Linked DNA regions of Kluyveromyces lactis. Each later gene encodes a partner of the first gene's protein in a complex. Links are inferred from orthologs where the notes say so. Each region holds a gene or a part of one and is shown on either strand. Other genes may lie near its edges. The genes, in order: CFT2 and PFS2.

What was found.
Region 2: the proteins of CFT2 (region 1) and PFS2 are in contact, whole or in part, in a cryo-EM structure (PDB 7ZGQ), measured with the Saccharomyces cerevisiae proteins. The link is inferred for Kluyveromyces lactis from reciprocal best matches to the Saccharomyces cerevisiae genes CFT2 and PFS2. Residues at the interface, in NP_013216.1 of Saccharomyces cerevisiae: Asp547, Asp548, Tyr549, Gly550, Thr551, Val552, Val553, Phe555, Met557, Phe558, Leu559, Pro560, Asp561; in NP_014082.1 of Saccharomyces cerevisiae: Ser186, Ser187, Asn188, Ser190, Lys191, Ile203, Glu212, Trp227, Glu230, Met231, Gly232, Leu233, Leu245, Asp247, Pro248, Arg249, Ile254, Ser255, Ser256, Ile291, Ser294, Met295.

The regions. Positions count from the first base shown.
Region 1 is NC_006041.1:1,063,092-1,067,026, forward strand, and holds CFT2 (cleavage polyadenylation factor subunit CFT2), read right to left. Parts: upstream 2,444-3,935; coding exon 5-2,443; downstream 1-4. Other genes in the region: KLLA0_E12035g (uncharacterized protein), read left to right, coding at 3,080-3,935. UniProt on the Saccharomyces cerevisiae protein: RNA-binding component of the cleavage and polyadenylation factor (CPF) complex, which plays a key role in polyadenylation-dependent pre-mRNA 3'-end formation and cooperates with cleavage factors including the CFIA complex and NAB4/CFIB.
Region 2 is NC_006041.1:644,236-647,862, reverse strand, and holds PFS2 (cleavage polyadenylation factor subunit PFS2), read right to left. Parts: upstream 2,098-3,627; coding exon 739-2,097; downstream 1-738. Other genes in the region: PFK27 (6-phosphofructo-2-kinase), read left to right, coding at 1-346; BSC6 (Bsc6p), read right to left, coding at 2,494-3,627. UniProt on the Saccharomyces cerevisiae protein: Integral and essential component of the cleavage and polyadenylation factor (CPF) complex, which plays a key role in polyadenylation-dependent pre-mRNA 3'-end formation and cooperates with cleavage factors including the CFIA complex and NAB4/CFIB.

The DNA.
Region 1 (3,935 bases):
CAATTTAAACGTTGGCTAGCATGTCTGACACTGCCGATTTGACCTTGTAAAATACGTCCGATGGTGAACCATCAACTATGGTTTCGGCATCATTAATCTTCCGAACCAAAACTTTGCCATCAATCACTAGTGTACCTTCACCTTGGAACTCAGCTTTATGATTTTCCGCAGTTAGTCTTCTTTTCAATTCCGGTAGTCTAACATCTCCGATTCTTAGAGAACTTCCAGAATGTAAAGCTAACGGGTTGCTTAACGGTTTCAATATAACCTTCTCCCGATGTGGGGCTTTTGGGTCAGTTTCTGTCAATAGTTTACCAACAACGTGTGCCACAGTGAAAGATTTACTGATTCTTTGCCAGTTTAGAAGTTGGTCGAGCGATGGATCGATAGAAATATCAATTGCCTTGACAGATGTATCCATCTCAACCGAATTATTGAACTCAGTCACCAATATGTCAATATTTCTCTTTGTTAGATTAACCACGACTTGGTTATCAACAGGAGCAGCTGATGGCAGCACAATGACTTTTCTTGGTTTGATTGCAGGCCAGATGATTGCTATCGACCGCGCATTAACTATGCTTGTCAAGTCGATATATACCAAAGAACAACGAATGTTAACTTTTGTTTCCACAATTGCTCGTTTATAAATGTCACTTTTCAATGGGTCCAAGTAAGAAATATCATCATTATTTTCTTGTTTCCTAGGATTATGATCTGTTTTTCTTTTCTTTGATTTATTAATCCGCGAATCAAGTACCTCATATGTATCATCGTCATCGTCTTCATCATAATCGTTATTACTATAAGATTGCTTTAAAGATTGTGCTTGGTCATATGATTCTTCCTGTGGTAAGAATCTCTTTAAGTTGACCACATCACCGTAATCGTCAGATTTAAGCTTTGCTGGATGGAATGGGAACATAAGGTGCTTTTCATTTGTGGAAACACTATCATTGGAAGTAATATCTACGGGAATCTCCACTTTAACGTTTCCCGATCCATTCTTGCCTCTTGCATCCATTGAATCCACACCTTCTTCGTCGCTACTCTCATCATCAACATCAAAAAGTATTGTTTTTGTTTGAGCTTTGTCATTGGTCTTAGCCGTATATTCTTCGATAATTTTCTCTCTTACCTCATTTCTAGTTTTAATCATTTCTCTCACCTTCTCCGCATCCTTCTTGTTTAAAATTGTTCTCTTCATGATTCGAAGTGACATCGAATCAGATATGCTAATGGGGTTGCCATCCAATGCACTTCTACTCCCATTCTTTATTGCTTGTTGCCATTTATCATTAAGTTTTCGTAAGGGATGTTGTGCTGGGGTATTTGGATGTCTCTCTGTCAATATGATCGTTACTTTATCTTTAGAGCAAAGTTTGTTTATCGTTTGTGACAAAATATCATCAACTTCGGAAACAAGACAGATCTTTTGCCCAGTGTAACCTCCCAATTCCTCAGGAGTAATAATCCTCAATCTAGATACAACATCGAATGGAGACCGATTGTCTCGAGATTCCCAGGTCTTGATTACTTGCGAGGACAACCATTCTAACATAGATTTAGCATATGTGAGAGAACGGCCCCTTGAATAAGATATTAGAAACACCGGAATATCATACTTCAATCCACCCCTCATATTTTCATATAAGAAATTGTTAACTAGGACTAGTACTTCCAATAGTTTCCCTCCTACTTCAACTGGTACCAGTAAAGAGTTATTCATTTGTATAGCTCTTTTCATGGTATCAGTGAAATGTTCTACTCTTTTCCTCTGAGGTTCAGCTGAGCCTATAATAGAAAGGTTGGTTATTACAGAAGTCGGATGCATCATGGAACTGGTTGGATTTCCAGTATTGTCTAATAGGTCCGCACTATTCAAGATAGTATCTCTTGTATGGTTCCAACGAGGCGCATACAATATTTTTTCTGATGAAGTGATTATCGTCCAAATGGTACCACCGGGAGCATACCCTGAGTTATGTGCTTCTAATGAGAGCCCATCGAATTTATTCTTTAAATCCACCGTTTGAGAGTATTTCACCGTTTCAATCAAGTCAAAGGAGCTTTCAATATCTTCTAGGTCCATGACGGCATTAGAAAACGGTCCTAATATCCCAACTGAAGTTAAAAGGTCAACACTGTTGACTCTGCCTAGATTTGATACAGGTAACGTCCCATAAACTTGAATTCTCGACCTAAAATGAGGCAAAAACTGTTTAAACATCATGGCATAGGACCCAAGGCATTCAATTGTGGGCTGGGAAATCAGAACAATGTCAACTTCAGATATGTACTGCGTCCAAAACTCTTCACATTCTTCATAACTGCCTTCACCGTTCCATCCTGGGTCCAATAATACTATTACATTGTTGAATCGTACAATGGTTCCCTCAAACCGCTTCTTCTCATCCCTACATGTTTCGATGGTGTATGTCATCTTGAGAGCACAGTTACTTCTATATTTGAAAAACAATGAGAATCCACTGGTTGGAATGGGAAAGGAAAAGGTGTCCTCAGTGCCGGCAATCTCTTCTTCTTCTTCCTTTATCCTTCATTCTTCAATTATTTGCATGTACTGTTTAAATGAACTTAATGTTGATGCCTTGAGTATCATTTTGACATGTTATGTCCGGGTAATGAGATATAATGTCAGTAAGAAGGATTAAGAGGCCAAACTGAGACAGGGAAGTTGTTATTGGACGAGATACTGCTGCAATCTGTAGGTTGGTACGGTCCAGTAGGTGGAATATCAAACATATTTCATTGCTTACAATTATAGGCAACAAAATCCACAATTTTATCGGTACTTTAAGTGTCAAAATGTATTCCGAACGTTCTTTGAGGTTGAGTCAGCATATTAAAGAATAAAGCGACAGATTACGGAACAGATTGCTCAACTGACCCAAACACTGGAAGAAGTCTAAAGGCATCTTGGATATACCAGCGTACTTGAAATCAGTTGAATTATAAGGACCTAGTTTACAACGTGCAAGATAAGCTGCATTAGTTGACACTTTTGACAGATTTGCTAATGATAAGAAGGAGGAGAAGAAGATTTAAGGGTACAAAAGTAATGAGTCTTCCGATCGAAATTATTGATCGTGTAGTAACTAGCGGACTAGACAGTCTAGAGAGTCTGTTAGCATGGAGTAAGGTTGGTTCACATTTTAGAACAATTATAAAGCGCAAGCTTGGTGTATTGAAGATTTGGGATTTGGATAGGGAATCATCAAAAACCTTAGCAGATCCTTGCAATTATGAGTTGTTATCTGATGAGAGAAACACCGCTTGCGTAAATACAGATACGTTCAAGTTTCCTGTGTTGAGCGAATTTCTACGGAAGTTTGACAACGTTCTCATTGTCATCGTATCCGATCGCTGCTACAGTGACCCATTGGCGACGGCATTATGTGAATTAAGTAGAGGGCTAAGTGGGATGGGTACTCTAAAGAATCTATGCTTCATGTATAAGACGACTACCAATTTCCTTTCCAAGTTCTATTTCAGAGAGCTAAGCCATTGTCAAAGCCAACTACGATTATGTGAATTACATATATTCGCCAACCGAGATATTAATCACCAGGAAGTTGACATGTTTGATATCGACACGATATTTGAGACTACTTATTTACATGACGTGGAAACGCTGTTCACTTTGAACATAAGAAGGGGTAAGAAAGTGATTGCACCTAGGATTATGACAGTGAATCAATTGCAATGTGAGGATAACACTACAATAGTCGATGATCTACAATACTGTCCCCTGCTTAAAACGATTGAAAAATTCCAAGTGCCACCAGGAAAGAGAGTTGTATTACCACCATGCGACCATTTAACTCTCGTCAGTTACAATAGTAACACTGAAAGGGATCTTGTTGATGGATCCTTCGTGAGAGAATCTTTGACAATCAGGGCATCCCCAATGTGTT
Region 2 (3,627 bases), about 420 kb from region 1:
AGGTTCTCACAATCCAAATTTCGGTTTATTCTTTTTCCATATCATGAACGCAGGACAATTTTCTGCAGACGATAGTAATATGTACTACTTCCCCTCGCAATACTGTTCCGATACAGCAGAACTTATCAATACAATGGAATATTTCATGGAGAATTATTCTAAAATGTACGGATACGGATACATCGAAAAGGCTAACGAATTTTTGAAGTATGGGACATCGTCCCCTACTTCTCCTCAACCATCCTCTTCCCGTGATAGATCTGATGCCATAGATGAAAATGTCCGAAAATCCAATATAATGACGTTGCACGAAAGTATCAATGATACTTATCTACAAACGTTGTAATCTCTTATACCATATGATTTGGCTATATTTATTAGAGTTTGAATGCCAGTGCTCCTTGCCAATTGATACACCAATTATAAAAAAAATATTAATGACGAAATGATATCTTATAAATTTAATGACCTTTTGACCGCCAGTTGATTAAGCGACTGGAATTGTAACGACCTCCTAACACTTTTTTGTTTTTATTTCTCGGTTCTTTTTAACACTTTTATATATTCAACAACTACTGATTCTTTTTTTACCTATTTAGTATAGTATTTTACTCGTTAACCTCTATTTTAGTTTATTCAATCGATACAGTCTACTTATTAATGATGAAGAAAAGGTAGATTTACATTTAATCTGCTTAAATAATATTGATGCTATAATTTCCATGACTTTCAATTGTCTTAAAAACTTAGGCCTGGTAATCCTGATCCCAAACCTGGTAAAGTACTGACAGATGGTCGCTCAGGTTCAACTGATCTGGAACCGTCGCCATTTTCATTATTATTGGAGTCTTCACTTGGTGGCAAAGCAACACCGTGTTCTGTTTTGTTTCTGACAGCATTAATGTTATTATTGATACCGAAGTACCAAGCATTAACTTTTTCATTGTTATATGTTGGATCATCAAAGGCGTTTGGATCGACTGCTCTCGATCTCGTCCAGAATCGAATAGTCCTATCTTTCGAGGCGCTAGCCATGATGTGACCAATTGGACTATATGCTAATGATGTAACACATTTTTCATGTGCATATGGAATGTTGTGTGTAGGTTTGTTTGGCTGATTTTCCTGGGATAGATCGAAATGTTTTATAGATCCATCATAGCATCCAACGGTAAACACTGTTTCATCGATTGGATGCCACTGTAATGTCATGTAGTCGACATCATCACGAACACTGAAAAGCTCTTTAGCCTGTTGTCGTATATCATATACCTTGCATGTTTTATCCTTCGAAATTACAGATAGTAAGTTTCCCTGTTTGGGTTGGAATTTCGTCGAGATGATAGTATGTTTAAAACCAAGCATGGTGGATACGCAGCTACCACTACGCGGATCCCAGAATTTGATAAGATTGTCTTTGGATCCTGATACGATTAAACCCATCTTCGGATGCCAGTCGCATGATTTGACGTCCCAATGATGGCCTGATAGCACCCTTTCTTGTTGTCCGTTGCTAAAGTTCCATATTTTCAACACATTATCATCAGAACAACTGACAAACTTCTGGTCGGTCGGACTAAACGATATTTCCCTTACACATTCCATATGTGCTTGGTCCATGACTTTAACCATATTAAAGTTTGGTTGCCAGATCTTAAGCTCCCCATCAGCGCTACCACTAACCATCCAATCCCCTGTATGTGAGTATGTCATCACGGTTACTGCACTATCATGAGCCTGCATAATACTTTCGAAATTGAAACTGGATCCACTCCATAATGAAAACTCTCCATTGTATGTAGCTACCACTAACCTTCTTCCTTCTGGCGTCCACGTAAGAGCCGGAATAACGTGCTTTACCTTATTTGATGAAAGATGCGTAAATTTGGTTGCTGTATTGATGGCATGCCCATGAAAACCATAGGCATCTGGCGGTAGTATATGAGCATTATATGAGGTTTCTGCCTCTATATATGACGAATTCTCCTGGCCATGCTTCTTCAAGAAATATAGTCTATCATAAGATGCAGAAATGTCAATTGTTCGTCTTTGCGATGTATACTTTTTAGTTGTGGTGCCCTCGGTATTAGGATCCATGCTATGTCTTTTTCAAGCTGAGACCAGGCTGTGTTGAAATTTCTGAGAACAGTATGAATAGTAGTTCACCTAAGTTTCGTAATGTGAAACGTTGGCCGTGTCTTTTGATACATGTTTTATGCATTTCCTACCTCTCAATATCATTAAATGCAAGTAATATTCTGATTTCGGTAGTTTTTGATGCCAGCTCGATGTTGAAGTTGCTTCAAGTAAAGAAAAAAAAATAGATCACGTGCAGCAGACCTTAAGCATAAGAATGAAGCTGATTCAATTACTTCTGTAGTATGGATTTAAAATACATATGTCCGTTAAGAAGTAGGAGCGATTCCCCTATTATATATAAGTAAATAATTTCCATGCGCGGCACGATATTCATATCTGTTGAGCTTGAGTAATTTATAAGTACTCTCTATGTCCTTTGATAATTTTCGGGTAGAGCATCCAAACTATGTTGAATGCCAAAGAACCAAGGAAGCATAGAAATGGATAGTATTGGAACCCAAAAATCTTGTTTGCAAACCCAAAAGAGTATGTTATTAATGCACCACCACACCCTCCGAAAGCGATTGCTGTACCAATACCACTAACTTGTTGATGTTTCGGTAGGATTTGGATTGCAACAACACTTGCGTTAGGGAACAAGGGACCTATGAAGATACCAGCGCCAAAGATCATCAACGATAAAACAAAGAAATAGAATGTCGATGTGGAATTGATTAGATTGATGATAACGAATAGGAAAAAAAACAATGAACAAGTCAAACCGTACCAAACGCTTGACCTGTATTCATTTTTGAACCTTTTTGTAACAAAACCAAGACCTAATCTACCGATAGTGATCCCAGACCAGAATGACGCAGTAACAAATGACATAAGGAACTTCTCACCTTTCTTATAATTCAACAAATATGTGAATAGCCATGTCCCAACACCAATTTCTGTACCTAAGTACAAGAATAAGAAAAATGCATACAAGAAAATCATCGGAGGATACTTCGATAACTGGTACCATTTTATCTCTTCCTCATTTTCAATACCACCTGATTCATCGGGGACTCCTACACAGATGTATCTGTATTTGGTAGCAGTTTCGTATTTAAAGGCCCCCATGCAGAGTGCCAACCCCACAAGAGCAAACACCAAAGGGACCCAAAAGATATAAGACCAATCCAAATAATGATCGAAGGTTGTAACTAATGGTGGGGTTACACCAGCGGCCAACCCGTATATTCCATGAAGCAAACCCATCCATTCATTCTTTCTAGTCTCTAAATTACCAAAGTAGAAATTACCTGTAGAGTCAACAAACCCAACACACATACCTAGCGGAAAGAAGCATATCGCATAAAGATAGAGCGAATATGGTTTTAGGGCAAGAACCAAGTAGGTAAATGCAGCAAGTATACATGATGCTGTCATTACGCCTCGAGACCCCCATTTTTTATGCAAAATATCATTTAAGACCGATGCCGACACATAGCCCATCAATTGAAGGAAAAACACTATCGACATTTGAAGCTCGGTGACATT